Caenorhabditis elegans: one gene and its partners. The protein of the gene in region 1 interacts with the protein of each later gene in a biochemical or structural test. Each region holds a gene or a part of one and is shown in the gene's direction. Other genes may lie near its edges.

Evidence for each region.
Region 2: the proteins of lab-1 (region 1) and gsp-1 interact in far-western blotting, tested with the Caenorhabditis elegans proteins (one study listed by BioGRID).
Region 3: the proteins of lab-1 (region 1) and gsp-2 interact in far-western blotting, tested with the Caenorhabditis elegans proteins (one study listed by BioGRID).

Annotation. Positions count from the first base shown.
Region 1 is NC_003279.8:9,654,136-9,663,325, reverse strand, and holds lab-1 (Long arms of the bivalent protein 1), read left to right. Parts: upstream 1-5,302; 5' UTR 5,303-5,521; coding exon 5,522-5,589; intron 5,590-5,635; coding exon 5,636-5,735; intron 5,736-5,781; coding exon 5,782-5,904; intron 5,905-5,955; coding exon 5,956-6,150; 3' UTR 6,151-6,314; downstream 6,315-9,190. Other genes in the region: npp-14 (Nuclear pore complex protein 14), read left to right, coding at 1-641, 690-1,788, 1,928-2,532, 2,584-2,985; C03D6.9 (Aa_trans domain-containing protein), read left to right, coding at 4,298-4,525; asfl-1 (putative histone chaperone asf-1-like protein), read right to left, coding at 3,499-3,509, 3,607-3,757, 3,807-3,977, 4,605-4,897, 4,941-5,052; T05F1.11 (protein-disulfide reductase), read right to left, coding at 7,292-8,258, 8,402-8,604, 8,649-8,840. UniProt on the Caenorhabditis elegans protein: Involved in sister chromatid cohesion during mitosis and meiosis.
Region 2 is NC_003283.11:10,678,510-10,690,449, forward strand, and holds gsp-1 (Serine/threonine-protein phosphatase PP1-alpha), read left to right. Parts: upstream 1-3,912; 5' UTR 3,913-4,019; coding exon 4,020-4,074; intron 4,075-4,404; coding exon 4,405-4,536; intron 4,537-4,795; coding exon 4,796-5,026; intron 5,027-5,736; coding exon 5,737-6,200; intron 6,201-7,232; coding exon 7,233-7,340; 3' UTR 7,341-7,996; downstream 7,997-11,940. Other genes in the region: F29F11.20 (uncharacterized protein), read left to right, coding at 9,392-9,485, 9,906-10,054. UniProt on the Caenorhabditis elegans protein: Serine/threonine-protein phosphatase which antagonizes the function of air-2 in the regulation of chromosome cohesion. Dephosphorylates histone H3 at 'Ser-10'. Dephosphorylates translation initiation factor eIF2alpha.
Region 3 is NC_003281.10:7,331,038-7,341,199, forward strand, and holds gsp-2 (Serine/threonine-protein phosphatase PP1-beta), read left to right. Parts: upstream 1-5,549; 5' UTR 5,550-5,585; coding exon 5,586-5,637; intron 5,638-5,693; coding exon 5,694-5,825; intron 5,826-5,951; coding exon 5,952-6,182; intron 6,183-6,240; coding exon 6,241-6,455; intron 6,456-6,504; coding exon 6,505-6,618; intron 6,619-6,665; coding exon 6,666-6,800; intron 6,801-6,854; exon of another isoform or gene 6,855-6,965; intron 6,966-7,029; coding exon 7,030-7,152; 3' UTR 7,153-7,728; downstream 7,729-10,162. Other genes in the region: F56C9.10 (BCAS3 WD40 domain-containing protein), read right to left, coding at 1-1,152, 1,199-1,294, 1,376-1,798, 1,903-2,394, 2,571-2,753, 3,961-4,080; kap-1 (Kinesin-associated protein), read left to right, coding at 7,964-8,033, 8,098-8,170, 8,617-8,854, 9,210-9,321, 9,414-9,559, 9,613-9,751, 9,798-9,885, 10,016-10,162. UniProt on the Caenorhabditis elegans protein: Serine/threonine-protein phosphatase essential for chromosomal dynamics during meiosis and mitosis. During meiosis, promotes chromosomal cohesion and germline immortality via a small RNA-mediated genome silencing pathway.

The DNA of each region.
Region 1 (9,190 bases):
AGACACCTAAACCTTCATCATCACTTTTTAACCCTAAATCAATCGCAAGCAACATTGAGACATCACAGTTAACAGAATCCAAGCCATCAACTCCGGCAGCTCCAAGTTCCCAACCAAAAATTGCGTCAACACCAAAATCAGAAGCAATTCCGAAAATTTCAGACAAAACTTTGGAACATAAAAAGGCTGAACTGATTGCAACCAAAAAGCAGGTTCTTATCGAAAGAATGGATAAAATCAATGATTCAATGGCTGGAGCTAAAGATGCTACGATGAAATTATCATTTGCTGTGGGAAAAGTGAAAACTACAATTATGGAATGTGCTGATGTGGTTAGGGCATCATTAGGAGATTCTAAAGAAGTTATGGACGAACTGAAAAATCTAATTTTGTCGATCGAGCGAATGTCTGACAGAACACAACACACGGTGAAGGAAATGGATTTTGAAATCGACGAAAAAATGGAATTAGTTGCCGGAGTGGAAGATGGCAATCAAGTTTTAGAGAAGCTCAGAAATATGTCAGAAACTGAGAAGCTGATGAGATTCAACAAACTGGAGACTGCTGCCGATTTGTTAAATGGAAAATATGAAGAATGTAGCGATTTGATTAAAAAACTGAGAATGAGCTTGTCTGAGAAGGTTTGCATCGTTTCTTTACTTTTACTTATTTTAATATAATTTTTACAGGAGTCACTTCGAAAACAGGCAATATTGTCACCACTTCGTCTCAGTTCAAATCTCAATCAACTTCGCTCCGGTAGTGAAACCGAGTTGGCTCTTAAAGTTATGCGCAACGTCTCAAAAATCATCATGGATACCCGAGAGCAAATTCAGCGAACTGAATTAGAATTTGTCCGTTTCCAAAGGGACGTCAAATTTCAAAACTTCAAGAAGGGAAAGGAAAATCTGAACTTCACGCAACCACTGGAGATGAGTAGTCTAGATGGAGACGCTCCTCAAGGAAAATCTCTCACTGATGCAGAAAGTATCAAAGTAAGACAAGCACTTGTGAATCAAATTCAAAAACGAGGAATTGTGAAGACTAGAAACGTCATCGTGGAGTCTTATAAAAAGTCAGAAAATTCGGCAGCAATGAAAAATGATTTGCTCGATACTTCAAATCTTTCAAATGCAATTCTCAAGTTGAGTATGACACCAAGACGAGTTATGCCATCTTCTTCACTATTCTCTGCATCTCCATCTACACCATCCACTAAATCAGATGCAGCAACTCAAGCCGATGAACCTCCTATTGTTAAAACTGTCGTGGTAACAGTTGAATCACCAGCAAAGCCAATAGCTTCTGCTCCAGCTGTCTCTTCGCCATTGATAAAGCTCAATACAACAACTGCGACCACAACAATGACGACACCAAAAGTAACAGTTCCAAAAGAAGAAGCAAATAAAACACAAGATCAAAAACCAATCATTTCTACGCCAGCATCATCTTCCATTTTCTCTTCGGGTAGTTTGTTTGGAACAAAAACACAAACACCTTTAGTTTCCAAAGAAGAGTCTACATTAACAACTGGAGTGCCTTCTTTGATTAACAGTTCCCTGAGCATCAGTCCACAAGAAATCGAAAAAGCATCCTCGAAAGTGGAGACACTGAATAAAACTGAAGAAGTAAAAGATGAAAAATCTGAAAATGAAGTTACACCTGACTTGAAGTCTGAAGAGCCTAAATCATTAGAAACAAAAGTGAAAGAGGAGCCAAAACCAGCTGTTCAGACTCCAGTGAAAGAAGAGGAAACGGGAAGTAATATACAAAAAACACCAAGTTTTTGTAAGTTCCTTTTTTGTTGTTAAAAAAATGAGTTTCAACCAAAGAATGATATTCGATTAAATCGATGTAATTATATGAACATTATAAATGTATTGTTTCCATACTTTAATCAACTGAAATTTAAAAAAATTACTTTCAGCGTTCAACTCAACAACTACCCCAAAGTCGACTTCCTCCACCTCATCGATCTTTGGCGGTGGTCTTAAAACTCAAACTCCCAGCTCTTCCAACTCAACAAATATTTTTGGAGCTCGAACCACAACAACGGCCACCCCTACACCTGCATCGAACACGTCAAGTATTTTTGGAGGTGGCTCAAAAGCAGCAAGCTCTCCATTTGGAAGTTTTGGACAGGCTGGTTGCCAACCGGCTAAAACTTCGAACCCTGCAACATCTACTGCTTCTGTGACTTTTTCGTTTAATACTGGAGCAACGTCGGCATCAGCAAAGCCGGCAGGGTTTGGATCTTTCGGTGCAGGCGCCTCTGCTAAACCATCCTCCGTTTTCGGAGGTTCAGTGACTGCGCCTACAGTTCCAAATGTGGATGATGGAATGGAAGACGATTCAATGGCAAATGGTGGAGGTTCTGGAGGTTTTATGAGTGGACTTGGAAATGCGAGAACATCCAACACTTCTGGTGGAAATAATCCGTTTGCACCGAAGACGTCAACTGGGACATCAGCCAGTAGCAGTTCATGGCTTTTTGGTGGTGGTGGTAATCAACAACAACAGCAACAGCAAAAAGTATCGTTTCAAGAGTCTCATTGTATTGTAAGCATTTATTTCCTATTTCAGCCGTCGTTTTCTTTCAACACTGCCGGATCGTCAGCTCAACAAGCATCTGCACCTGCAACAGGAACGTCGTCAGTTTTTGGAGGAGCTCCGAAATTCGGATCGCAACCAGCATTTGGTGCTAAACCATTCGGAGGAGGGGCGAATGCAGGATTATCTAAAAATGCTTCAATCTTCGGAGGAGCAACATCTTCCACAACCAACAACCCTGCCACTGGTGGATTTGCTCAATTTGCATCAGGCCAGAAGACTTCATCTTTGTTCGGTGGAGGTGCAACTCCACAGACGAATACTTCTATCTTCGGTGGTGGAGCTAACACAACTCCAGCTCCGACATCTTCTGTGTTTGGAGGAGGAGCATCTGCCAATGCCAATAAACCGACATCTTTCACATCATGGCGATAATATATTTTTAATGTCTAACATATTGATTCATCAAACTTTAATTGTAGTTTATAGTCCATCTCCCCAATTATTTTCCCAAGTACTTGTTTTATTGATTATCTCGGACCGGTTATTTTGTTGTCTGTCGTGTTTTTGAATATTCATTTTCATAAATTTTGTCAATTAAGCTTCTTTAGAATTATCTATCCTTCAACTTCCAGGGGCGGAAACAAAGCCAGCCGAAAACACTCCTCAAAAATGATACATATCCACAGATTAAAACGAACGGAAAGCAACTTCATTTCAGAAAACTAAAATCTCCTTTAAAGGCAATTTGACATATATGACACTTTGAATAAAAAGTGAAGTAATTTTAGATGCAATTCAAAAATCTTACAGTAACTGATAGTGAGTATCGGAGATGAATAAAAATGCAAGTTAAGAAAGCAATATTTAAATACAAATTAACCAGATCTGAAATCGCGTTTTGTTGTATCGGAAAGGGGATCGACCATCGATTCGGTAGCTTTCGTATCAGTGTTTATCTGAACAAAAAGTTGATTATCTACAATCATAGGGAGATACAGACAAAACAAAAAATAATTAAAATCAATCTAACTTATGATTGAAAGTATCACTTACCACCCATTTCAACATCTCCACTTGCTCCATCGTGTTCCATACTTTCTTCTCCGTTCTTTTGCTCCGTTCCGTCATGTGCATTCGCCATTCGTTCGTTGAAGCTCTCGTTCAAGTCAACTTCTTCAGTATTGGGACCCGTCTCATCATCGTCCTGAATAACAGTAAATTATTATATTCAGATAATGCTAGATTCTACCCACCTCTTCCTCCTCGTCATCATCCTGCCCATCATCATGCAATGGCATAAGATCATCCTCATCGAATACTTTGTTTGCCTCTTCATCAACCGGCTCGGCGACTGGATCCTCATCAGTCCACCGAATTGGGAATGTGGTGACGCGAAGATCTTCGGTTTCGATTTTACGGGAAAGCTGAAAATTTTTGAAAATTCAAGGTCAAAACTGAATTATCTACATTTTTTAACTGAAGGAACTTTGAGATTAATTTAGAGCATTTCACTTTTTCCCTCTTTCCACAACAGATGGTTTATTACGTCATCCCATACAGTACATCTGTGTGCGTGAGCCCGATCGATGATGTCCATCTGCTCGACAGGTAGCGTGCACAACGTATTCAGTTCTCTCATTGTCATTGTCTCACTCTCAACTATTTTTCGTTCTTTATTTTTAATTATTTCATTAGTTTCATTGCTCGTTTAATAATATTTATTTATTTCCTTCAGATTGTGAAAATGAAAGCTACTGCAGCGCAAAATAATTCAACTCATGCTAGTGTAGCGACCAAAAATAGCAACTACAGAGGCGCTACATACATTTTCGACAAAGCTATCGGAGGAATTGTTTATGCAAGTTTTATAATTGCCGGAGCAATCGTCTTCGTTGGAAGTAAGGTGGAGGGCTTTATTGGACTCGACGAAAACCGTTCTGACGATCAGGAATGGACTGTCATTAGACAATAACTGGTGCTTGATTTATCAAAAATAATTTTGTGTGAATGACTTTTGAAATAAAGTGTTTTTTTCCTGAAAAGAACAGAACCTTTTCGATGAGCGGCTTTGCAGGCGGATTCTCTTTGAGCTCTTCGTCGGTGTACTCATTTGCCACAAACCATCCCATATTGATGAACTCCTGATCGTTGTACTTGCAACGAAGGAGAAGCACACTGACACCAACAATATCCTCGACTGGAATCTTTGAGATATCCGGGTGTTCTGCATCAAAGACAAACTTGTGACGTCCTTCAGGAATCGGGCCAACGAGCGCGGAATCGAGAACTTGGTCGAAGTCTCGGGAGGTTCCAGATCCAACGTACACCAATTCCCATTCGAGATCTGATTATTCTTAATTTTTATGCAGTGTAAATAATATACATACCATGTGGTAAGTGCTCAAAAACTTCAAAAGTGATCTCCATTTTGAACTTGTCGACAAACATCGCTGGATTATCGAGAATTTGGACTTGAACGATGTTAACACGTGAAGCCATCTGAATAAAAAGCTCAAAATTAGAAATTAGAAAGCAGATTCATAAACTGTTCAAACGATAGTTTTTAAAAACGAGAAACAAATCAAAAATCCCGTAAAAAGTGGTTGAAAACTCCAGCTGGATCCAGTAAAATAAAATGTCGAAAAACTTTTTCCAACTACCGTAGTTTTTTTGCACAGACGAAGGCTAATCGTGGTGAAACCCATTGAGAAACAAATTCCTGTTTTTTTTTTGTTTTTTATTCGCAAAAACGTTGACTTTATTTTCTCGGCTTTAAAAGGCAAAACTAAAGAAAAATAATACATTGAATTAGTAAAAAATTAATTGTTTTCAAATTATAGAAATTATTAAAACGAGCAAGTCAGGACGAAAATTAGAATTTTTGACCTCTCCAAGATGCGCGAAAATTTATTTTTCATTTTGTCTTTCTCAATTTCCCGTTTCACTCGATCCTCGACTTTATTCAACAATGGTGAGCCATAAGAAAAATGATCGTCCTCGCCCATTGTGGATCTTGAAAATCCATAAACGGCTTAGGTAAGCATTCAGAAGTTCCAATATTTCAAAAAGTGGTAATTTTTAGCTTGTTTGAGTTCAAGCGTTATGCAACAGGAATTGGCAAAGACGACGGACAAGACATCTCGTGGGTGCTGAAAGGAAATGCAAAGAACAATGTGTATCAGGTGATTCATTTTATTTTATATTTCCTACAAAGCTAACATTTAATAGGTTACTGTTGAAACTATGGAGAATTGTGAAACGGACGAGTGCAAGAAAGTGATCTGGGTGCCCGATGAGTTGGCAGAATCCACCGGAACGATGTTCGAAGATTTCAAGGAAGACCAACCTCAGGTATTTGACAAAACTTGTTTAGAATATATGTCAAGTCTGGAATTTTTCCAGGAATCTGTGTCTTCGATCAGTAATAATGAAGCAAATTGGGGGAGTTCTGTGAATGAATTGGACGAAAATTATGAAAAAATGCAGAAAGAGGAAACATTTGATCCATATGATTCGGATTCCGATACATCCGAGGATTCCGACTTCGATGAGGATTTTGAGGATTCTGATAAAACGATGTGTTCTGGTCAATCATGAAATTAACCATTAATCGAAAAACTTCAAACTCAAAAACGCTGTGAATAATTTTTTCAAGAAATAATGTAGTTTTAAATATTGTGATATACTAATGTGATATAAGAAATCTTAGTTTCTCGTTCAGATTCCCATTTATTCTCTCGAAGCATTGAATATATATATATATATATATTTATTCAAATCGTCGTAACAAAACAGAAAGTATAGAATAATCACCGGGAGAAACAGACTTGAATAATTTGAATGATCCTGTAAACCAAAAGTAGTTAAGGGGATCAAGTTGTGTGGGAAAAATAATTAAACGGGATAGAATTTAATCGTGATGCAAACATTTGACGGCTCATTGTCCCCGGAAGTAACTTGGACATACGGTTCCATAGGTGAAGATTGACTAGTAGGAAGCTTTCGTTGATTGATCCACAAGGGCACATCATGTACGGATATCTGGGCGAGCGAGCCTTCCTCACAGTTGATGCGGCATTCGGAAAGTGGTATTCACCAGACAGGATGTTGTGATAGGTCCTCAATATTTGAAGAATCCGCAGGTGTTGAACTGACTTTTGGTTCATCTGAGCTAGACGGTTTTCATATGATGAGTATGATAGATTGCAGCGTTGGAAGACTTTTCTCGAGAAAAACTTCAGTGGGAACTCCAGTTGTTTAATCATATTTTTAGAGATCGGGTTGTAGATTTCACATCCGTAGTTTAATATTGGCTGCACATAGATATTGTACAATTTGAAGTAAAGGCTGGCATTTGTTGAGCGGAAGGATCGAAGTAACTGCCGGCATTTGAGAAGGGCTAAGTTCGAAATGATGTTTATGTGCTTCTGGAAGTTCAGCTTGTCGTCGACGAAGATTCCAAGGTCTTTCACTGAGTCCTTTTTGGTGACTTTCATTCCGTTTGCATAATATTCATTTTTTGGATTCCGCTTTCCAAAGTGGATAACATTGGTTTTGTTTTCAGCAAGGTTCAATTTCCATTTTGCGCACCAATCGGTCACGACATTGATTGATTTTTGAATAGCGCTGACATTGTCACCAAGTAGCTTGATATCATCGGCGAATATCATGAAATGATTTTTATACTAACAAGTACAACATTAACCAAAAACATAAATACATACAAAAAAAAAAGAAATTATACAGACTTCCAGTGATTAACCAATGCTTGCGGGTTGTTGAGAAAACTAGACACTTGATCTCGTCCATCAACAGTAATAACTGTTCCGTTTGGCTTTATTATTATCAATGTTGGAATCGCATTTTTAGTGTTGAACTGCTGTAAATGCTTGCTTATTGGTGAGTCGAATGGCAAATGGAACCAATCGCCATGAGAACTTTGCAAATAATAATTCATCTCCTGTTCACTCCTGTCGCTTGAAATAAATAATATCTCGAAATTCTTATCTACTTGACTATAGAATTGTGCGAGAATTGGTGTAAAGTCACGAGATGGTTGACACCAATAACCGGAATAATACAATCCAATAACCTTTCCATCGAGCATTCGTTCAGAATATGATCCTGATGGATGTAGATGTCTGAAGAGAGGAACATTTTGGAGAAATGTACAATTGTTCATCTGCTCCATTTTGTTTGTTTCTTCTTTTTGCAATTTTTTTAATGCTCTCGATTTTTCCTCACGCCTTTTAATTTCAGCTTGTTCCGCTTTCTCCCTCATTTCAGCTTCTAATTTAATTTTTGCCTCTTCATTTTTTCTTTTCATTTCCATCTCCTCTTCCAAAACCCTTTTTCTTTTTTCTTCTTCCTTCAACTTTCGAACTCTTTCTGATTCCTCCGCTTTCCTCCTCTTTTCATCCTCTTCTTCTTTCTTTTTTCTTTCTTCTTCCTTTTTTCTTCGTATTTCTTCTAATCTTTCTTCCTCTTCTATTCTCCATCTTCTTTCATATTCCATTTGAACTTCTCGTTTAATTTCATCTCTCGTTCTATGCGGAAAATAGTTTGGTGCTGATTGTGAGTGTTCAATTACGGTAACATTCCGAATACTTGCACCAGATGAGTATGCAGATGCCAATATTTCTGGAGGAATTGGAGAATGTGAAGAACGGGATCTTATCAAATTTATCACCCGGTGTTGCTCTGATCTGAAAATTAAATTCAAGATTTTCCTTCATTTCATTTGCAGGTTGGGTATGAGGTATTTATTTCAAAAAGCAAGAGAAATACTATTCAAATAGGATAATAGATATATCACTAAGATTAAATATGTCCGTTTTGAAGTACTTACCTCTCAAGCATATGAGATCTCGATTCAAGAAGTGAGAGCATGTTATCAAACTTTCCAGAAAAACGACCAAATTTTCGTTCAACAGTTTCGAGCACTTCAATAATCGACATCATGTGGCTTGATCTAAACTTTCTATTCCCAAAAATTCGAGCAATTAATTGACAAATACTTTGCTCAAGCTTCTCTTTGTAGATCCGATTTTCCTACAATTGTATTTTCAAAATAATCATTACAGAACCAGACTCACAAGACTTATATTCAAAAGCAAGGCAACAAGAATATTCAAATTTGCCAAGCATTTTTCAATTTGTGGCGTTTCGACTGAAAACAAATTTTCGCAATTCACAAGTACTTCCTTCTTCGTTTCATCGTTATCAAGCAAAGCGTTTATCAGTTTTAGTAAATTTCGATTGTTTGAGTTTTCATATTCCCAAGTTGCCTGCAATAAAAATGATTGTAGAGGTGGAATGAAAATAAAAAGATTCATAAATGATTCAAAGTGCGTTTTCAATTTCAACTGGGAAAAAATATCAAACAATTAGATATCTAGCTAGATAAAAGTATAGAACAAAAAAGTTGGTTCTAGTTCTAGTCGAGCTCTAGCACGAGTAGCGCATATTTTGTACTTCGTTTATTTTGGCAAAATATTGTAATATTTAAAAGTAGAATAGCATGAATTTGTCCAGATAATAATAAGTTAACTATAAAATAACCAAAGAAAAATACCCATTTTTGGTCGAGTTCCAAAACTGGCGAAAGTGGCAAAAACTTGGTACTTGCCATTTTTGA
Region 2 (11,940 bases), on another chromosome or scaffold:
TCTTGGTATTTATCAAATTTAGTTCCAAAGTTGATAAACCCGGTGGGCGAATTTCAAAGCACTTGGGTATTGTAGTTGTACACTTAAAATGTTTGTAATTCTTTGTTTCAATCAAAACATGATCATTTATGGCATCATTATTTTTATTTGGAGACTTAGAAAAAATCAAGTCTAAGCCTGAAATTTCATTTTGTGTTTAAATGGAAATTAAATATATTTTCAACAAAAAAACAATATGACCACAAGTGACAAACCAACTTTAAATCTTACATTTTGTATAAATGTTTCCGTTTTAATTGGCCTATTCTATGATTCATAGTTGACGGTGGCGTGTTCAATGAGTTCAAAAGATGAAGTATGTTTTGTTACTTACCTTTTCTTATTTCAATATTTTTAAACAAAAAAGACAAGTGAAATCGATACGTGTCTCCGATGCTCTTGATCTTTATCCCTTTTTCAACACAAAACACACGTCTTTCTATTCATTGTTACACAAAACATTGACTTATATGACCTGTGTCTTTTGATTGTGTATTCTGGTCCTGAAGTGTTTTGAAATTTAAAATAAACGTCTGTTATGCTTACTATTAGGTATTCTGAAGCCGTCACATTGTACTCTCTTTCTCTCTGTTTCTGTGGATTCATTTTTCTTTTTTAGTCTTGGTCATCTGGAAGAATAAGAAACAGAACGTTTCTTCGTAATTCGATTAGGAGGAAGTGGTCGGAGAATGACTTGAATCATTCCGAATGTTGCCGCTGGTGATGTGAAAGATGTATATTTCTCTAAATCTCGTCAATTGTTCTGACCTTATTGCTATACTATCGCTTCGTTCCGACACTTTCCCATCGTTTATTGGGAAATTTCACATCGAATACAGACGAGACAGTCAGTTCATAACGAATTCACTGTTATTTCCCATTTTAAACTCCCGAGATGTTTGTTTATGCCTTTATAATAACGATTCATTCGAAAAGAGCCAAAAATGTTAAATTAAAAATTTCTTGGAATATGGTGATTGAATATTATATAGAATTTTTATTTAAAAAACTGATACTCCTCCCACTCACGAACTCTTTTGGACAGCTGATTCAATGTTCTTCAAAAACTTGCTGAGTTTTCACTTTTTGCTCACGAATATCTAAAAATTAAGCTAAGCTAGCTGAAAATCATCAACTGATAAAAAACATACAATTACCGTACTTGTCTTTGAAGGCTTCTGTTCTATCTCGTAGTTACTGAGTCGACTCAGCGCTATTTGAAAGCAGATAGCAAATAAATAACGAATGATTCTAGCCATAGACTTTTTCGATACATATTTTCAATGTGATCTTATTAATTGCGGCTACAGTATGTTGAATAACTAAATCACATTCTGTTTTCATTACATATTTCATTAGAAGCATGTACCTAAACTTTTTTATACGAAAAATCTTAATTGCATCTGTATGCTCATATATAGTAACATTTGATTGAATCAGTCTTTATTTTCCAGCACAAGGCGTTCCTTCGAGCCCAAAGAAACGGTTTTTCTTCCCGGTCTCTGCGCCTTGTCATCTTCGTTTTTCTTCCTATTTTTCGCCCTCTCAAAAACTTGCGGTTACTTGTTTAGTCAACAACTTTTTTTGCTTCTGCTTCTGCGCGATTCAATAAATTGAATTCGAGACCCTCATCTCAACGTGAGCATCTCGTTGCCCCGTCCGTCCCTGCTTTCCTCCTCTTTTTTCATTTCCTTTCGGTCTTATTTTGCCTTCTCTCGATCTTTTTCACATGTGCTTACGTTTTCTTTCACCTCAATCAAAGCTCGAACATGATACTAAATTTTCGTGAGAAAAGTTTTTGACTAATAATTGTTTTTAGCTGTTTATTTGAAAGCGTAATTCCGAAATTTTCACAAATCTCCAAAAAAGGAGCCTAGTACGGTGGTTTTTTGTGTGCAATTGTGCGTCAACTTGTGAACAGTGTTTGCGGACTTTCAAAATAATTTTTGTCCTATTGCATTTTTTGAATGTTTTTCATCGCTTTTTTCGTTTATGAAACTGTTTATGTTACGAAATCAAGTAGTTTTATTCTTTTTTAAATAATTTTCGTTTGATATAACTATTTTCCGTAATGTCATAGAGGCTTAAGGTGATTTGAATGACTTCTTGGGGTATTTATTCCAGAATTTATTTATTTCGATTGAATAGAAAAGAAGTTGGTTTAAAATATGAATAACATGTGTTATCATTTAGTTTATATTGTTAACATTATATTAGTCATCGAAAAGTTTTACACCGCGCAATGAAAAGAAAAATAATTACGAAATTTTATGGCTCGTAAATAGTTCTTTTTGTAACATTTTGTTGGCAGAAACATACAATTTGTCATAATTTTATGCTTAATAATAAAAAATTGTTTATTAAGTGTTGTTTGAAAAAAGTCTGGAATGTCGTATATCTTTACCGCACAGGAAGTGTTTGCCTTTCTCAATCTTTTCTTTCTCGTCGTCGTTTCCTCTTTTCGAAACGTTCTGCGTGCAAATCAAATACTTGTACATCTCGTTTTGCCCATTTGTTCTAGAGAAGAGAAAGAAAGAGCACCTCAAGCTTCTCTAGCCGTTTTTTATTGTTGTTTTTTCTCACAAGAATAAGCGTTACCCTTTTCAAAAGATAACAGACTATGCGCAAAGTGTGATAAGAAAACCTTCTCGGAAGTTGTCGCCGTTTTTGATTCCATGACGTCTTACACGATGTCAGTAGTGTCGAACCAATATCGCACGTGCCACCGGAGGTAGTGCAATAACATTGCGAATTGTTTCGGCGAAAGAATGGAAACGACGGTGGCGAGTTATCGATCAATACTGCGGGCAGTGGCCGGTGGATCGGCGCGCGTTCGTCTCTCGCTCCACTCGTACACTCACACATAGGGACAGGCACATACACATGCGTCTCAGTCCGTCGTCACTTTTCGCTCCTCTTTTTATACGCGGCATTTCATCCCGATCTCCTCATTTTCCTCCACTATTGATGAACCTACTTTGCTTGACTACAGCCACACATGTTTCTCTTTGAAAGCTTCTGTTTTCTCTCTATCATATCTTCACCATTTCCTTTTTCTAGTGCTGTAAAGTTATCCGCCTGCTGTGACGACGGTGTCGTGTTTATGACATGTTCCTCCTCGGGGTCGTTGATAACGGCAAAGAGAAGGAACGGGCGTCGTCTCGTTACCGTTTTCCGATAAAACTATATAGGTGTATAACTTGAAATTGGCCAGAAAAAAAAAGAGTATTAGAGTAGCTTCGATTTGCCTCAAGGTGCATAAAGCGGTGATTCACGTTTCGAATTTGAGAGACGCAGGTGTTTAAGTGAATATGGTCTCAGTTTGCTCCCCAATTCTTTTTGTTGTCTTTTGCTACCACAGGACGAAGGAATTTCTCTTAGTACACCAACAAACTTTTTTCTTCAAGGCATCAGTTGCTCGTTTTCTATTTTCAATGTTTAGAAACAGTATAGCACAAATTTCACATAATTCAGTTTTTTTGTTTGTTTTCACGACACGCGTTTGTTGCCTTTTCAAATTCAAAATTTGCATATCGATTGTTAAAAACCATGTGTTCTTTCTTTCTCAAACATTTTAATATTGTGTCCATCACGTCATCGAGTTTCCGATTGAAACAAATCACTTTAAGGTTTTTATTCTTCAAAAATATAATCCAATCAGGAAATTTGAAAACTATATTATATTCGCATTACAATTTCTTGATAAAATTCTCATTTTTGCATTTTTCCTCTTGGAATTGTAATGATACGCATCACATCCTACTGCTGTTGTTTTTTGATGCTTTTTAAGCTTAGTCTTATCAATTTTCTCACGTTTTCCTTGAAGTTTTTTTTAAATTCTCACGCCAACGTTACTAATTTTTTATCTTTCAGCCACAACCAATATCAGTTGTCGGCCAAAAACATTGCAAGAACATACATCACTTGCCATCCATCAAAAGTGACCAACAGAAGCCGCGGAGATTGCAGCTGCAAAAACAATGTCGAACGATGGAGATTTAAACATTGACAATCTGATCACCAGACTTCTTGAAGGTGGGTTTTAAAGTTAATAGAGAAATTGATCTAATATCGACATTCGAACTAAACCAGCTGTATAGTTGTTCAGAAATTTTATTGAATTTTATTTGTTTGAAATTCCGACTAGAAATTCCAAATATTCTGGTTTTGAGGAATTTTGTTTAATATAGCAATTATCATTATTTATTATGGTTGGCAACTATTTATTTCAATAATTTCTGTCATTTTTCCACTTTCCGATTTTTACGGTCGTAAAAAATTTAATTAATATTTAAAATTTTACTAATTCTCTTTAAAGCTTATTTTAAGTGACTAATTTGATTTTTCAATAAAATTATTTTTCAGTTCGCGGATGTCGTCCAGGAAAGCCAGTTACCATGTCGGAGGCGGAGATCCGTGCTCTTTGTCATAAATCTCGTGAGATCTTCCTATCACAGCCAATTCTTCTGGAACTCGAAGCACCTCTCAAGATTTGTGGTGAGTTTTTTTATTATTCAAAAACCGTTTTTGTGTCTGCAATGTAAGAGACGACTAGAGAATATGGTCAATAGTCTTCGATTATTTATAAATTCTGTCTAAAAATTCAAAGATAGTTCAATTATTTAGTAAAAACATCACTGAACGTATGTGATTATTGGAAAAAAAGTCCGAATGTCATTGAAAAGTTTCGCAGCATACAATTTAGAATGTTAATTTCTCTAAAAGTTCAATATGAATGAGAAATATTTAATTTTAGGAGACATACATGGACAATATAACGACTTGCTCCGTTTATTCGAATACGGAGGATTCCCACCAGAGGCCAATTACTTGTTCCTCGGAGATTATGTCGATCGTGGAAAGCAGAGCTTGGAAACAATTTGCTTGTTGCTCGCATACAAAGTCAAATATCCAGAAAACTTTTTCCTTCTTCGTGGAAACCACGAATGTGCTTCAATTAACCGTATTTATGGATTCTACGATGAATGTAAGGTTTTTTTTTGCTTTAAAGAAAATTCGAAATATTAATTGAGATATTACGTGTCCATGATTTGATGAAAACTGCGGAGACGCCTGCGTCTCTCTTCTCCACACGCTCTCTCGCCATAGGCGTTTTGCATAGGCGTTAGATAGCATGCGAGAAAAAGAGACGCAGGTGCTTTTTGCGCTTAAGATATGGCGATTTTTCTCACCCGCACATGGATACGTAATAACAAATTATTCCAAAACAAAATATTCGCTTTTTTTTAAATTTTCATACGCCCGTTCACATCAAGTAGAAACTTTCTCCGGATGACAAAAAGATTCTTAATAACCATGCATCGGTTGTGTATATTTTAATTTATATTTCAACGAAAAATTCCATTAAATTCTGGGTTATTAAAATTTGTCCAGTTCAATCAGCAAATTTCGATAGTTAAAAAAGGAAAATTATGTCAATTATTTTTTCAAAATAACAGAATAATTACAATTTTCAATCAATGTAAAAATTTGGAGAACAATAGCTACTGAATTCTTTGAAAAAATCAGTATATTTTGAAGATTTTCTTATTTCTCTTTTTTTCAGATTCTTATACTCAAATTTTCATCAAATATCAAAAAAAAACGACCAGGTCCTCAAATTTTAATTTAATAATTTTTAGAAGTAAAAATTGCTGGAATTGTTATTGAAAAGTCTTTAAACCAAATAATTTTCAGGTAAGAGACGTTTTTCGATCAAATTGTGGAAAACTTTCACCGATTGCTTCAACTGTCTTCCAATTGCTGCACTCATTGATGAGAAGATCTTCTGCTGTCACGGAGGACTCTCCCCAGATCTCCAAAATATGGAACAAATTCGCCGTGTGATGCGACCAACCGATGTTCCTGATACTGGATTGTTGTGCGATTTGCTCTGGTCTGATCCAGACAAGGATGTTACCGGATGGGGAGAAAATGATAGAGGAGTCTCGTTCACATTTGGACCTGATGTCGTTGCAAAGTTTTTGAACAGACATGATTTGGATCTGATATGCAGAGCTCATCAGGTCGTCGAAGATGGATATGAGTTCTTTGCTAAGCGACAACTTGTCACACTATTCTCTGCTCCAAATTATTGTGGAGAATTCGATAACGCTGGTGGAATGATGAGCGTTGATGAGACATTAATGTGCAGTTTCCAGGTAAGAATATTTCTGTTATGTATTCGAAGGCCGAACAAGGAGAGAAGACGAGTAGTTTATTACATTACTAAACTAAGGAATAAATAAGTTAGTTCATAGAGTTCACGTTATACGATCTTCTTAGCCACGTCGTGGGTCAATACACGTTCCAACAATTTCATTCTTTTTCCAAATATTCCAGATCCCCGAAATGGAATAAATTCAAACAAGATGGAAAATCAGAAACCAATTTTCTAAATGTGTTTACAATTGATTTTTAAATTAGGGGTCGGGCATCCTTGGTCAAGAGGAACCGATTTCGAAAAATTGAAACCTCGTGAGATTGAAAATCGAATTTATGTAAAAGTTCCTGCTCTTCAAATTTAATTTTGGCTGGGAACTCATTGAACATTCGCATCACATCAAGAAATAATCTAGCATGAGATGAACCTTTTTAGAGAAAAACGGCACCGGCATATTTACAAATTCGTATTAAAATGATCGAGAAAATTAGAATGCTAGTGGCTGTGTATTTCACGTGAAAAAAACTATCAAATTCTTTAATTTTGAATATATTTCACAAAATCTCGTGAAATTTGTATCAAAAATCAATAATTTTTCGTAAATCTTAGAAATCTCAGGAACCGAAAATGAGCTGTATTAGTATTTCACCTTCCATCTTCTTTCTTTTCCATATCAAAATATGAGAGAAAAAGTACCATCAAACGGTACTTCTTTATTAAAATCCTACATTTCGGAAAAAATTTAAAATGTTTAAATATATAATGTTGATAATTGTTCAGTTAGTGACAATTTGTTCTTTTCCCGAAAAAACAATCTAACTCAAGTAGTTGCATCCCATGTTACGTCAAAACTCTTTTTCTTCCAATATCCTCTTGAACCTATCGGGAAATAATGACCAAACTGAACCATCAGTGATTATTAGATAATTTTATACTCAAAAAGCTTATAGAATTAATTTTGATCGGATAAGACTGAAATTGTTTTTTTTCAAATAAATTAGAAAAATTTGATTCATTATTTATTTTACAGATTCTGAAACCATCGGAGAAAAAAGCGAAATATCAGTATCAAGGAATGAACAGTGGACGACCAGCAGTGGGCGGAGGACGGCCTGGAACGACTGCTGGTAAGAAGTAAAGTGATGAGGAGAAAGAACATTTTTGCCTACATTTTTACTCATTTCTCTCGGATTTTTACTTTTCTGTCCGTTTTTTTTGAATTTCCCTTCTCTTTTATCTCAAACATTTTATTATTTTCTCGCCCTCAATACACCCCACCCCGCACAAAAACGAGTTTTAAATGCTCTTCATTATTATTTTCTTTTCTGATTTTCTATTTTTGTGCAACTGTACTCGATCGAATATAATTTAATTTTTCTGGCGAGTACAGATTGCAAATCTTTCTCTCTCTCCTTCTGTGTTCTCCATTTTTAGCTAAATTTTCTCATATATTTTTTTTCTGATTGCCTCTCTTTTTCCATTTGCTCTTATCCTGTTTTATTCTTAGTTGTGAGCCTAACACACCGGGATCAAAATCCTTCCGATTTAAAGTTGCAGCTTATTTATTCTTACAATGTTAATCACACAAACATTCTGAAAGTACGAGAGCGAATTCGTTCTTATTTTTTAGAATATTGAATTCTGATCCGCCCCAACAACACGCACACTGATAATTTTCTATGGTTTTTATTCGAAAATAGTGAATTTTTCTCGACAGCTCCCCCCGTTCCTTTTTCTCGCCCCCATTTCCTTCTTTCTTTCCTCCAACTGATTCCAATGAATATTTTTTCCAAAAGGTTTCTCTTGCGCAAGAACCAGTCACTCAAATTTTGTGTGTGTGTGTTTGGTCAAAGTATTTATAAAACACATACTGTCTTCAGGCAAAAAAATAATGGAAAAAGTATGAATCACATTGTTTGGAATGAGTACAAGAATAGAAATAAAATGTTCGTTGGATGGAAAAAGAATAAAGAGAAGGAATCCTGCCAAGGGAAACCAATTACTTCTGAAACATTAAATCAAGATCAGGGAAATTTAATATTTCAGAAATAACTGCAACACATAATCCTTTAAACTGGGCAATTATTTTTTAAAAATTCTATTTGGTAGTTTTCAGAATGGATTTCGTCGCCAAAATAATGTTATTTATAAACCATTCGACTCAATAATACGATACCTGGACCCGGCACGACTGTAATATTTTTTAATGATTTCTGTGAAAAGCAGTGTGCGTCTTTCAAGAGTACAGTAGTTTACACTTCTGACTGCTGCACAATGTTTTCAATTTTTCGCTTTATTTTCTTTTGAAAGTTCCTTATTTTCAGAAATTTAAAGTATGCATGTGAAAAAAACTATTTTACAGAAAAATGTGAAGGAATCTTAAGATGTGAAAAATCGAAGAAAATTGCATTCTACAGCAGAACGGAATGGACGCCACTGTAATCATTAAAGGCGCAGTCTTTTTTCTCGCAGCTTTTATTAAAACATTTTTTCGTGACGAGACCGGGTACCGTATCCCAGCGTCATTACAATTTTCACATCTGGGAATATTGTGTTGTTCTTTATTAAGGAAAAGTTAACAAAAAACACTTTTGTTGTGATTTTGCGAATTAAATGAGGTCCCGTGTGCGCCTTTAATGAATACTGTAATATCAAACTCTTGTTGCTTCGGAATTTTCATAGATTGTTCATAGTGTTTCACACGATTTTTTAACATTCATATGCTTTGTTTTTCGTTTTCTTGATTAAATTTTTCTTCAAACAATGAATGATTAATGAAAATTCCGAAGCAATAGCTTGAAATTACAGTAATTATTAAAGGCACACGCCTTTTCGCATTTAACGAACGTTTGTCGTGTCGAGACCGGGGACCTTATTTTTTAGATCGCAAAATCTTGCCGTGTAATAAAATCCTCGCATTCCAATTTCAAAATGCTCAAAGTTCTTAATATGTGTGTGGTTTGAACTCATAGTTTGCTCTACAGTGCCGTAATACGAGACGGAGCACACAGGTTAAGACGTGTTTGAGCAGCATTTCACAGTTTGTCGCAAAAACTTCGAACAGTTTTTTGCCCGTTTCGCAGACAACTTTGAGAGTTTACGAGAGTATTTCACAAGTAAATACATTATTTCCTTCAATTGTTGCCACTCGGTCTCATTGACTGTGTTTCACATTATTTGCAATTGAAAATGTTCCAGTTGTTTAAAGCTCCGCCCATTGCAGTTCGCTTAGATAGAGAAAAACAGAGAGGAATCATCAGACGACAAGATTATTGCTTTTTTGGTGGGTTTTTTCAAATGTATAATTCAGCCTATAAAAGGTAAACTTCATTTTAACCAAGATGGTTTTAAATTTTACTTTAGCTCTAGTAAACATGGTTTTTTAAATGTTATTTTTTCCTTTAGTTAAGTTGTGATTGGACGTAAATTATGAGTGATTCCATAGTTAAAACATTCAATAGGATGGGTCTCGCCGTGATAAAAATTTATGGTAGAATTTTTTACATTTATTATGCATTCTTAATTAATTTGTATTTATTACTTAAAGACTTGTTAATAGTGACAAATATCTGTAAAATTCACCAATGAATCCCGGTTTTCAAAATTTAAATTTCTAAAATCAATAGTTTTTCCTTCTCAACTCTCGAGGAAAAATTTGTCTCTAAAGCATCTAAAAACAAAATGATATCATGTATTTGCACAGGTATGCTCAATTCGTCCATGATTGAACAACAATTACCGTATCTTATGAGTTTTCCAATCCAGATACTTATTTATTTTGAGCGATATAATTTGGTCATAACTCAATCATTCCATTTGGTATTTACCAATGGATATTTGAAATACCAGTAAGCTCTCATCTCTCAACCAACCGCATTGTCTTGTCAATAGTCCACTTCTCGCTGTTCTTTTTCATTTCACCCGCCTCCACTTTACCCTCTCAATAATACGTCATTTTCCCTCATCTTTTTCACGTACATTCTCATTTGGCAGATTTTGAGAAATTAAAATAAATTTTTATCTTTTTGCATCTTTTTCTCTATTCTTTAGCCATTTTTACCTTATTCCCATTTTCTCATTAAAAAAAAACCGGTGTCAGCTGACCGGTCTGCCAACCGAATTTTTAGAAAATTCCGTCAAAATTTTTGTGTTTCTCTGACAACCGAACGAGGCAAAAAAAGAAGAGGAGATGACATCTTGTTGAAACCCGTTTGGAGTTGGAAAAAAAATTGGACGAGTAATGGGAAAAATGACCAGAAAAGACGACCGTACAAGAAGATGAAGAATTGAATTTCGAGATGAACGAAGGAAATCGTGAGATATTTTGTAGAAAAATGAAATATTCACTGGGAAATAGAAGAAAAGTATAAAATTTCAGAAAAAATTTGATTTGAATAAAATTTGATTTTAGGTTCAAAAGTCAACCCCTCCCACCTAATAAAAGTTCAATATTTGAGAATATTCATCTCTGAACAACATAGTCTTCATGGCAAAATCATCAGACATTAGGGCTCTCGGACATTAGAAATACTTGATTTCTCAATGACACACACTTAAATTTCGTAGTAAATCAAACCTAAAATTTTAAATTCGTCAGAATTTTTTTTGAAACATGTAAAACATAGTTATTTAAAAGTGCTAAAAAGTGACTAGCGCGTCAAGCGCGCTAGGCTTCGCAGTAGATTAAGTTGGTAAACTGGGGAAAATTTGGATCTTTTTTAACCAAAATTGACTGAGCCATGGCCATTTGAAGATAATATTTTTTCTGGGTCTTTTTTAAGTGTATTCGGGCCTGCGGCACTCATCCTGATTTATTGGGCTCAGAATAGGCTTAATGGCTGTCCAATACTTTTATGTATTCGGGCCTGCGGCCCTCAATCCGGATTACCTGACCATTCCAAAAACAGACGTAGTTATGGAAACATACGTCTCATAGAAGGCCTCCAGCCTGCTCTGCTGGGAGTAGGGATAGAAAAGGTCTAAAGTTTCTAAGAGTAAAAAGGATTTTTTGGGTTTGAGTGAAAAACAATAGCATTGCAGGCCTCCAGCCTGCCCTGCTGGAAGTGAGGTTTAAAGTGACCAAAATGTCCGAGAAGTGCGGTCCTCAATAGGATTAGAGAAAAAGTAAAAATCTTGAAAAATCTTTAAAATTAAATTCTCCTCACGTTATAAAAATAAGAAATGAAAATTATCGAATTCATCCCCAAAAATAGAGAGTGGTAGGAAAGTTTTTCACGTTTAATCCATCTTTTTAATTTTGCAAAATTTGAATGATGGCCTACATTTTGGAAAGTTGGTCAATTTTTTTCAAAATAGTTTCAAAAAATTGGTAATTCGAAGTTCTCTCTTGTGCTCAAATTGGAACCAAATGTCAGAAAAACTGCTCGTATGGTATTGAAAAATATAAAACTCTTCAGTGCAAAGAAAATATTCAATTTTCGCGGTCTCCAGAAACCCGCGCAAATCAGTGTTCTACCCTTCCCAAAATTAATCCCCTCAATAATGACCATGGTGGGGCAACTATTTTTGAGTCATTCGCACTTAGTGAATGCAAAAGCGCCAGCTATGAGCCAAGTTATTAAAGCTCAAAGTTTGTACATTTTTGTCGGACACCCCATGTCGAAAACGTGCCCTTATTTTTTATTTCTGTCAAGTATGCAATTTCAGGATTTAATATAGGAAGAGGCAGATTTCGTGAGGTTTATTATTTTTTAGTCTCCTAAGTTCCAGAATCTATT
Region 3 (10,162 bases), on another chromosome or scaffold:
CCAAACATCCTCGTCGCCAATCCTCTTTGCTGGTACAGTCTCTACTGTAGCAAAAGCCATTAGTGGAGAAGCAGAAGGCATTGGGGCATGCATATCTGCATTGTTCTTGGTCCTCTGAAGAATCCAACCACCGACAGGAGCAACACTTATTTGAGGAGAAGCTTCCATGTTAGTTTCACCCTCTTTTCGGAGAGATTTGATATCATGTTGTGTAACAATGACTCCTTGAGCTGGATCAACTTTTGCAATGACTAGAGACATTGACATCAGCATTTTGGTAGTTTTCGCCGTTTTTGTGCTAGTTGTCGAGTTATAACTCTTCATCCTGAACATCACTGACATTCTAGAAACTTCCAAGCGTCGCCTTGCAGCTACTGCAGGTGAAGACGAAGCTTGAGCAGCTGGATAGGAGAAACTTGTCATGTCAGCAGCCCATGCACTTAAATCTTCTTTCGTGTATCGAGAGTCCTTGATTTTCTCAGTAGCGACAAGAAGTAGTGGTGGTGGGAATGGTCCGACTCTGGAGTTCCCATTGGTCTTGGCCAGGGTTGGAGAGTTTACGGCGATTGGATGTTCTTTTGTATAGGAGCAAGAATCAGCCATTGCTCTGTGTTTGCTGGGTCCGATTGATGCAGTAACATCTGCTGCATCGGTTAATCCAGCAGACCTATGAAATCTTGATTCTTTGTTCACAAAAGTATCTCCATGTGTTCTTTGATTAGGTTTTCCTCCAAACGGACAAACTGCGAAAACGTGAGTTGTTGCGTGATTCGTAGTAATTGCCAACCAACGGCAATCTTCGGAAAATGCTGTGGATACAACTTTTGCAGGGGTGCTACCGCGATTCAGCTTGTACAAATGTTGAACTGCGGCCAATGAAGATGATGTAGCATGTGGCATCAGAAGGAATATATTGAAAACGTTAGCATTCGCGTCGGCAGAAAGAACCAATCGTTGATCAGGTGAAAATGCAATATATGAAATAGGATCGACATGTGCTACATAGTGACACATAACGCCATCTGATTCATCTTCTCCGGAGACTGCCAGATTGAGAACAGTGATTACTCCTTGTGGCTGATTAGCCTTCGTAGAACTTCCCGATCCTGCACCAACTGATTCACTGATTGTCTTGACGCTACGACTGAAGTACTAAAACAAAAACGTTTTTAAGCATTGGTTAGAATCAGCAACTTACGCTCATTGCAGTATAAATATGATCGGTATACTTCTCACTACTTGTTGCCTCAACTTCAGCGGCAAGTCCTCCACTACTTTGCAGATTCAAGTCGAGCTGAAAATGAATGATAATTATTCTATCAAATGCGACTTTTAAAATAAATCAAAAGTATTAATTAAAATTTTAAAAACCTACACTAGTGTCAGCATATGCCAAAAGTTGGCAAGACAGGGAAAGTGCTGGCGGACTGTTTTCGCAGGATGGTGCAGTTCGAATGGTCCTAACTTCATTGAATGTTAGAATGTCATAGGCATACGCCATATTTGCAAGAGAGACGACCAAAAATTGATCTGACACATTAACAGCACAAACTGGCTCTTCGAACTTGATTTTATGAACTTCTCGTCCAGTTAACAATGAGATGATGGTGACCGAGCAGTACTGTCGATCAGGGTGATGAGAAGAAGCATCAACCATTGCAATAAGTGGACGGGAATCGGCGAATGAATCTTTCTTTCCACGGAGTTTAAGATTATTTGGAAGCACTTTCAAAGCTCTCACGGGTCCTTGTCTTTCTGATAGAACCTCTTCGAATTCGCCGCTTTGCTGAAATTCCATCTAATCACGGTAGGAATTTATGTTTATCAATTGATTTATGTATGATACAGAAACAGAAAAGTTTCCGTTCTATTTCACAATTAAATAAATATTTAGAAACTTACACTCATCGTCCAGATTTGATATCCTCGACATAATCCAACAATCAGCACTTCAAGCCTTTCATTCGGTTCTCCTGCTTTCTCCACAGATGTTAATTGCACCCATTCGGCCTTTTCAGCAGTTATTTGTGAACTTTGTGTCTGTCCCTTTGACATTCCCATCGCAACTAAATCAACCACTTGATTGGCGAGAGTTTGTTGTTCTACAGCAGATTGTCGAACGACTTGTCCCTTGATATAAGAAACTGAGTTGGTTCTTGGCTTTGTCATTATCGTATTCATTGACGGAATTGGTGGTGGTGCTGATCTCTGATGTGGTTTTCTTGGAGGTGCAGCTGGAGCATCGTCAAGTGACATATCGACAAGCATTTCTTCAGCTTGTAAAGAATCCTGTTCAACTGCTGTTTGGGACGGTGGGGATGTTGGAGGAGACGTTGTGGTCCTATTGACCACTGGAACGGCGTCCTCGTCTTCTTCCGGCGAATCCTTCACATTCTCAATTAAAAAATTATGACGGGTTATCGAGTGTTAATATTATAAAAAAATTTCAAAAAGTTTAAACGTCCTTGTTGAGAATTTAAATTTCAACCAGACTACCACATTTAGAGAGACGATTCTTTTTTCAGTTTTAAATTCTACAAAATTTTTCAAACATGAAATCAGAAACATACCGGTCTGCTACTCAAACTACTCTTATCCGAAGAGCTGAAATCCAAAAGATCCCCGCTAATGTTTTTTTCTTTTTCGATGGTCGGAGCCACCGTTTCTTCTACTTTTTCTTTGTCTTCTTCTCGATTCTTCTCTACTACTTCTTCTAAAACTTCTGGTTTTGGGTCCTTCTTGATGGGGTTTTCCTGGAAATTTATAAATTTTGAGATGGAAATGGTTTTATGGAAATTAGTCTCGCAAAGTTAATCAAAAGACGTAAATTGGTTTTATTTTTTGTTCACACTTCAAATTGAGAAAAAACAGCATATGGGAATAGATGATGTGTTATAATTAACATTGAACGTGTACACTCAAAATAATAAAACTGCGTGGCGTGTACTGCAGAAAACCTAATATTTAGGCCCCGCCTTTTAATCGTCCACTCACGGGGAAAAGACAAAAATAGGGGAGGGGGGGGGGGACAGCTCGCCACGCCAACAGTGAGAAAAATAGTGTGGTGCGCGGACCTCGAATGATGTCGGCGGCTGATATTGCCTGGGGTACGGCTTTTTGCGTTTTCCCCGTGAGTGGACGATTAAAAGGCGGGGTCTAAATATTAGGTTTTCTGCAGTACACGCCACGGAGTTTTATTATTTTGAGTGTATGTGTTAGGGTCAGTGGTCACCTGATGATGAAATGAAAGTCAAACCGATAGAGGAGTGCCAATCAAGTGGAGAAGAAAAGAAAGAAAATATTGGAAAATTTCATGAAATCGTGAGTGAGACGCAGACACTGTTATGGTGCTTTCACAATGTGTTGAAATTGTGCAAAACAGGTGGAAGAAATATTAATTTTTGACAAAAAAAGTAAAATATATTTGTGTATTTTTCAAATTTACCTAGATTCAAAAATCATTTGAAATGACGTATACCTAATATTTTTTATTTTGCGACGAGAAAAAACTAAAAGTTATCTTATGTTTGATACTATGTATACATTCGTATGCAGAAGCCAAAGATACGTTAACCGGCCTTGACACGACTCGTTGCTACGGAATTTTTTATCGAATTTGTAAGAAAAACTATAAAAAATTTATGTAAACTCCACACATCGAAAGTTTGGAATTACAGTACTATTTAAAGGCTCACATTCAACAAAAACTTGTCGTGTCCAGACCCAGTACCGTTTTTTGGCACGAATTTTCGCGTCTGGGTAGTACTATAAGAAAAACATTCGTTAGCGTTCCGAATCTATTAAGATTTTATCTATCTTTGAAAATAATTGCATAGTTTCGATGTTTGCAGCGCTTTAGAAAACGGAAAAATCCGTTAAACGGTTTTTTAAAGGAGATTTTTTGAAATTCGATTTTTTTAACTTTTAGTTTTGAAAAATCATTATGAAGTAACACTTTACCGGCTGTTCCTCTTCTGGTAGCGGTTGTGGCTGTGTTTGTTGATGTTGCTGTTGAGGGCGTTGATGATTCTTCTTGTTCTTCTTTTTCGGGCCCCCAACAGAGTTCGCGTTTGGCGGCATCTTCTTCGAACTGTGCAGATTATCGATTTGTTCAGAAAATGTGGTGAAGAACAGAACACAAACAGGAACAGATAGGATAGAACGAATGAGAAGAGAGGACAACAAAAAAAAGAGAAAAAATAATCAATAGGAAGATGTGAGAAGATAAAACAACAGAGATTTTGTTTTTCTCAAACTTTCAGGTAGATCAACGATCTATGAGTGTCTGATCCGACAAAGGTGCATTGTTACCAGTGACAGAAAAGCGGCAGAAGAATCGAAATCATGCCCTTCTCTTTCTCTCTTTTCACTTCTCACGTGTGCTAGACATGACATGGGGAGAAAACGACAGAAACTGCAGTTGGTCACGAGGGACTAGAGGGAACAGGCGACGCAGAGAAATGGAGGGAGTTGTGAGGAGGATGGAGAAGAAGGCTTCCATGAGCACCACACTTCTCGCATCTTTTTTGCTGATTTTTCTCACTCCAACTATTTTTCTTTTTTCTTATTTCTTATTGAACTTGACTAGACATCAATCGATTTTTTTAAATGCTCACTGCTCATTTTCTAACTAATGCTTCAATATATTTTCTGAACGAATTCATGGATGCAGAAGTACCAAAGTGTTCATATATTTCTAGCTAAATAATATATAACTTTTGAGTACTATAATAATCTCATATTTCAAAATGATTCATAAGTAAAAGTTTTATCAAAATATGCTAAATAAACTTCTTATAACTACGTTTTCATCTATTAAACTTTCACTTAATAAGATTTAATGCATCTTGTTCCCCATGTTTTTGCATCTGATCATAATTGCTGACAAATCGTGAACGAAGAACAGTGTATTTGTTATATTTACACATTTCAATCTCTCACCACCAACCAATTTCTCTGCCATCTTGGTCGAAAACAAAGTGACGAATTGGCGCATCATTCGATTATATGTGCCCCGTTTTTGACAAATAGTGAAAATTTCAGGGAAAAGAGAAACTTTAAGCTTTATCTTCTAAATAATGGTAGAAATATTTTCCTCAATGTAAAATTCAACTTTCAAAGCCCTCTAACCAAGTTAATCCTTTTCGCGCGCTCTTTTTCAATTCAATACTAATGAAGTTCTGAAAATTTGAACGTCCCCTTTTTTTTAATTTTAACAAGAAGAAAAAATGTAGAAAAACAGATTCAAAATCATTAAATTAGCGGATAAATTCAGAAAAAATGAGAACATGTAAAAGCGCTCCACCGGCCACCGTACCCTGCTGAATGCGGCATTTTCGCGGCGAGACCCGCCACTCTTTTCATTCGTTTTGACCCTGTCGCCTCCAAATATCTTTCGATTTTTGACATGTTTGCTGCTGTTTTTATCAACTTTTCGAGTAATCACGCGATTTAAAGACGTAATTATCAAACTTTCTTTCTAAATTTTCCGTATTTTCACGTTTGTTGATTGACATTATCTCAAAGAGGTAATTCTATTCGTATTGCAGATCTAATTGGGTTGTTTGAGCGATTTCTCGCAACAAATGGACGTAGAAAAGCTTAATCTGGACAATATCATCTCCAGATTATTGGAAGGTATGTGTTTGTCATAGTGTTTATTGAAATTAATCTTAAAATGATTTCCGCTTCAGTCAGAGGATCCAAACCAGGGAAAAATGTTCAACTCACAGAGAGCGAGATCAAGGGGTTGTGCCAGAAGTCTCGTGAAATTTTTCTGAGCCAACCTATTCTTCTCGAGTTGGAAGCTCCGTTGAAAATTTGCGGTAAGTTCTATCGAAAAAAGTTGACGTTTCCTGCTATGAGTCATTTTACTTATTAGTATTTCCTTCCACAGGAAATTGCCGTTTTTATTTTTGATAATATATATTCTGAGAAAATATATTTTTCAGGTGACGTGCACGGACAATACTACGATCTTTTGAGACTGTTCGAGTATGGTGGATTCCCCCCAGAGTCGAACTACTTGTTCCTCGGCGATTATGTGGACCGAGGGAAACAATCGTTGGAAACTATCTGTCTCCTACTTGCATATAAAATCAAGTACCCGGAAAATTTCTTCCTGCTCCGAGGAAACCACGAGTGTGCCTCGATCAACAGAATTTATGGCTTCTATGACGAGTGTAAGAGTTTGATCTGAGATTATCTTAGTACAGATTTATTCAAATCTCATGTTTTTAGGCAAGCGGCGATACAACATCAAACTGTGGAAGACGTTCACCGATTGCTTTAACTGCCTGCCAGTTGCCGCCATCATCGACGAAAAGATCTTCTGCTGTCACGGAGGACTTTCTCCAGATCTTCAGTCTATGGAGCAAATTCGTCGTATCATGAGGCCGACAGACGTACCAGATCAAGGATTGTTGTGCGATCTGTTGTGGTCAGATCCTGATAAAGTTCGTTTGTGAACATAAAATTCAATGAATGATTACCATTTATTTTCAGGATGTCACTGGCTGGGGAGAAAACGACCGAGGCGTCTCTTTCACTTTCGGACCAGAAGTTGTTGCCAAATTCCTGCACAAGCACGATTTGGATTTGATTTGCAGAGCTCACCAGGTATTACTTAAGATTTTCTGCAAAGTTGCGAACCGAGAAATTTTCAGGTTGTGGAAGACGGTTACGAATTCTTCGCTAAGCGGCAGTTGGTTACATTGTTCAGCGCTCCTAATTATTGTGGAGAGTTTGATAACGCGGGATCGATGATGACTGTCGATGAAACACTGATGTGCTCTTTCCAGGTAAACATAGCGGTACCATCTATATAATTTTAAATACTGATAATGCGTATGCATTCACCAATGATGCAATGGTTAAATCAGACGAGTCTATTTTGGCTATCTATTCGAGTTCTTCGAAGAAATTGCCGCTAAGCGGGGTGAAATTGAGGCATTTGTCTGAGGTGATTTATTAAACGCTAAAACTACCTATCAAACATTAAAATAAAACAATTCGGAATATTTTTTTCAGATCTTGAAACCAGCAGACAAGAAGAAATATCCATATGGTGCTGGAGGAGTTGGTTCAAATAGACCAGTCACCCCACCACGAAACGCACCGGCTGCGCAACCAAAGAAGGGTGCCAAGAAGTAATCATCAGTCGATTTATCTATCATCTGTAAATACCTAACCTTTTCTTTGTTGTTCACGCCCCAAGAGGCCTCGGCCATCTCTCGTAAATCGGCTTCAAAAAGTTGTGTACATTAATTTTGATTTTAAACATAGTTTCGAAAAAGTTTAAATTCGATTCATTATGATCTAGGCTGGCACGAGAAGATGCTGTGGTCCCGGCGAATCTCCTCTCAATTCAAGCTTTCGTTGTCAACATCCCTTCCTCTTTATCTCTGTGGACCATTTAGAGCTAATGACTCCTCACCAATTGCTGGCTCAATTTTTCATCAAAACAATCCCCATTTTATTCGTTTTTAAATTCCAAATTTTAATTTTTTTTGCTAAACTTATCTCTTAAAACAGTATCAAATTTTACTTCTCTAAATGGTCTAAATATTTAAAACAAATGTTTATGATGTCAATCAATCTCCACTCCTTTCCTTCCTCCATTCATTCGTCCATCCCGTACTCTTCGTTTCTCAATTTTATATTGTTAAAACCCCCATTTGTCGATTTAATTCATTAAAGTTTTCCGAACAAATAAAATAGAACACTGGTACAAGCGTGTAAGCAATATTTCTTATTACAACGAGTGCAACGTCTCCAAGGAGAGCGTGCGAGACGAACAGACATCCCCCACGACTAGTGCTCCTCGAGCCGTCTCATCGATTTCTGTCGTTTGTCAGTTATTCAGAAATGCTCCGCCCCGGCTCTTCAGTAAGCTATAATAGGTAATCAGAATGAAGAGAAATATTTTTTGAGTTTTTTCGATTGATTTTCCGTGTTTAGCTCAATGAATCAAGTTTCAATAGATGCACACCCGTCAGATCAGGCAATTATTGTACGATTTGAACAATCTCCTAGTAAGTTTTATATTTTTATTTTCAATTGAATGTGTTACGAAGATTATTTGGAAGTTTGATTCAGGTTCTTCAGCAGGAATTTCAATAAAAAAGCGAGCTTCTTCAGCGAACGTTGAGTCTCTTGGCCATCAAAAAATGTAAGAATCTGATATAAAATATAAAATTAAACTGGAATGCAAATCTGCTTAACAAGAAAAATAAAATAAAATATTTTTAAGACCGTATGCCCACGAAGGTGCACGTATTCTTTCGGATGGGTCTCACCGCGAAAAATGTTTATGGTAACACTTTAAATTTTTTCTGTTGCAAAAACCACAATCAAGATACAGAAAAGTTATTTAATAATTGCTCACAAAACCCCGAATAACAGAAAACGCACGACCGAAAATAGCAAAAAGTGTTGACTTGAGCATTTTGCTCGCTGTGAGACCCATTCCCCATGAATCCATGCCTCTTTAATTTTTAGAATATTGGAAAATAACTGATAAAAAATAATAATCGAATATATATATATATGAGAACCTCAAAATGTCACCTGCATCTAACATTGTACGGCTACAAAATTACCCAAATTGTATTACAGAATCCACTTGAAAGAAATGAGTCTGGATGTAGATATTCGTGCTTTATCAAATGTTATTCTTCAAAAATGTCTTTTCATTCCTGCCACGTCACGAAGTCAATTGGAGCAGGTTTTGTTCTACATTCAAAAAAGAGGAAATCAACGAATAAGTGCGAGATCAAGAAGTTCTTCGGCCGTTTCATTTGATCGAAGGCCTATTCATAGTCCTACAATTAGTGCAGAATTAGGGAAAATAGATGTACGTTTTATAAGAAAACATTTTGTAGATTACGTAAAGTTGAGGAGCATTTGGTTTTATTTTACAAATACGCATAGGCTATATCAAAATTGAAAACATTAATTGTTACATGTTCTAAAATGGAGCAGCTGAAACAAAACCAAGCTCGCTTGAGTGCTTTTGTATCCGGTAGTACCAATATTTTAGAATCTAAAAATTTATTTCGAAAATAATCTGATTAGTTTAAAATAATCTTTGAATGGTTTTCTATACATCATTCAACATTTATATAAAAACAGATTTCTTATTATGGTGAGAGCCTAAAACCAAATAGAACTTGAAAAACTACTTTTGAAATTAAAAATGTATCTTTCAGGAGTACATAGAATGCTTCTACGGTGAAACTTCTGTTGAGAAAAACAAAGGAGCCGTGGCACTTTATGAACTTTCAAAAAATCCTCAAAACCTCACACAGCTTGTGAACAATGGTAGGTAATTCTAGAAAAGCTTACCCGATGACCATAATTTTCGGACGTAATCTATGTATTAAAGTTAACGTTCAAATAACACTACATTTCAGAAACTCTTATGATGGCACTGGCAAGAGTATTCCGAGAAGACTGGAAGAAACACTTTGAAGTTGGAACCAATATTATGAACCTTTTTGTGAATATTTCCAAGTTTTCATGTTTACACGGAATTCTGCTTCATCACAAGGCATGCATGGTTTCTAAACGCCTTCACTTCACCTGAATTTCGTTTAAAAGCTAGATTTGCAGATTGGTACTTTATGTGTAAATGCAATGGAACATGAAACAAAACGGTACGATTTTTGGATTGCTGAGATGAAAAAGACGGATCAAGAGACATTGAGAAAACTAAAAACAGCCATTCGAAAACAGGCGATGCTATTGGCAGGTTTGTTGCAATTGTACATATTACATTGAAAATGGTTCAATTCCAGCATGTGTCACTTTTCTTACCAATCTAGCCACGGATATCAGTGTCGAATTGAAAATGGTCCGAAGAAATTTGGTGGCACTTCTTGTCAAGTGAGTTTAAAGGCGCAGTTAGTGAGGAAATTGTAAAATGCTGAAATATCATAGTAACACTTTTCACAGTTTTTTTTAATCTCTCCACCTTTAATAATTAACACCACATTCACTCATTTTACATTTCTAGATGCCTCCAAATGTCATCAGAATCTACAAGTTCACTAACAACTGCAACTATCAAGTTTCTTCTTAAATTAAGTATTTTTGATGAAAATAAGATTGTAATGGAACAAAATGGAACAATCGAAAAACTTTTGAAACTATTTCCAATTCA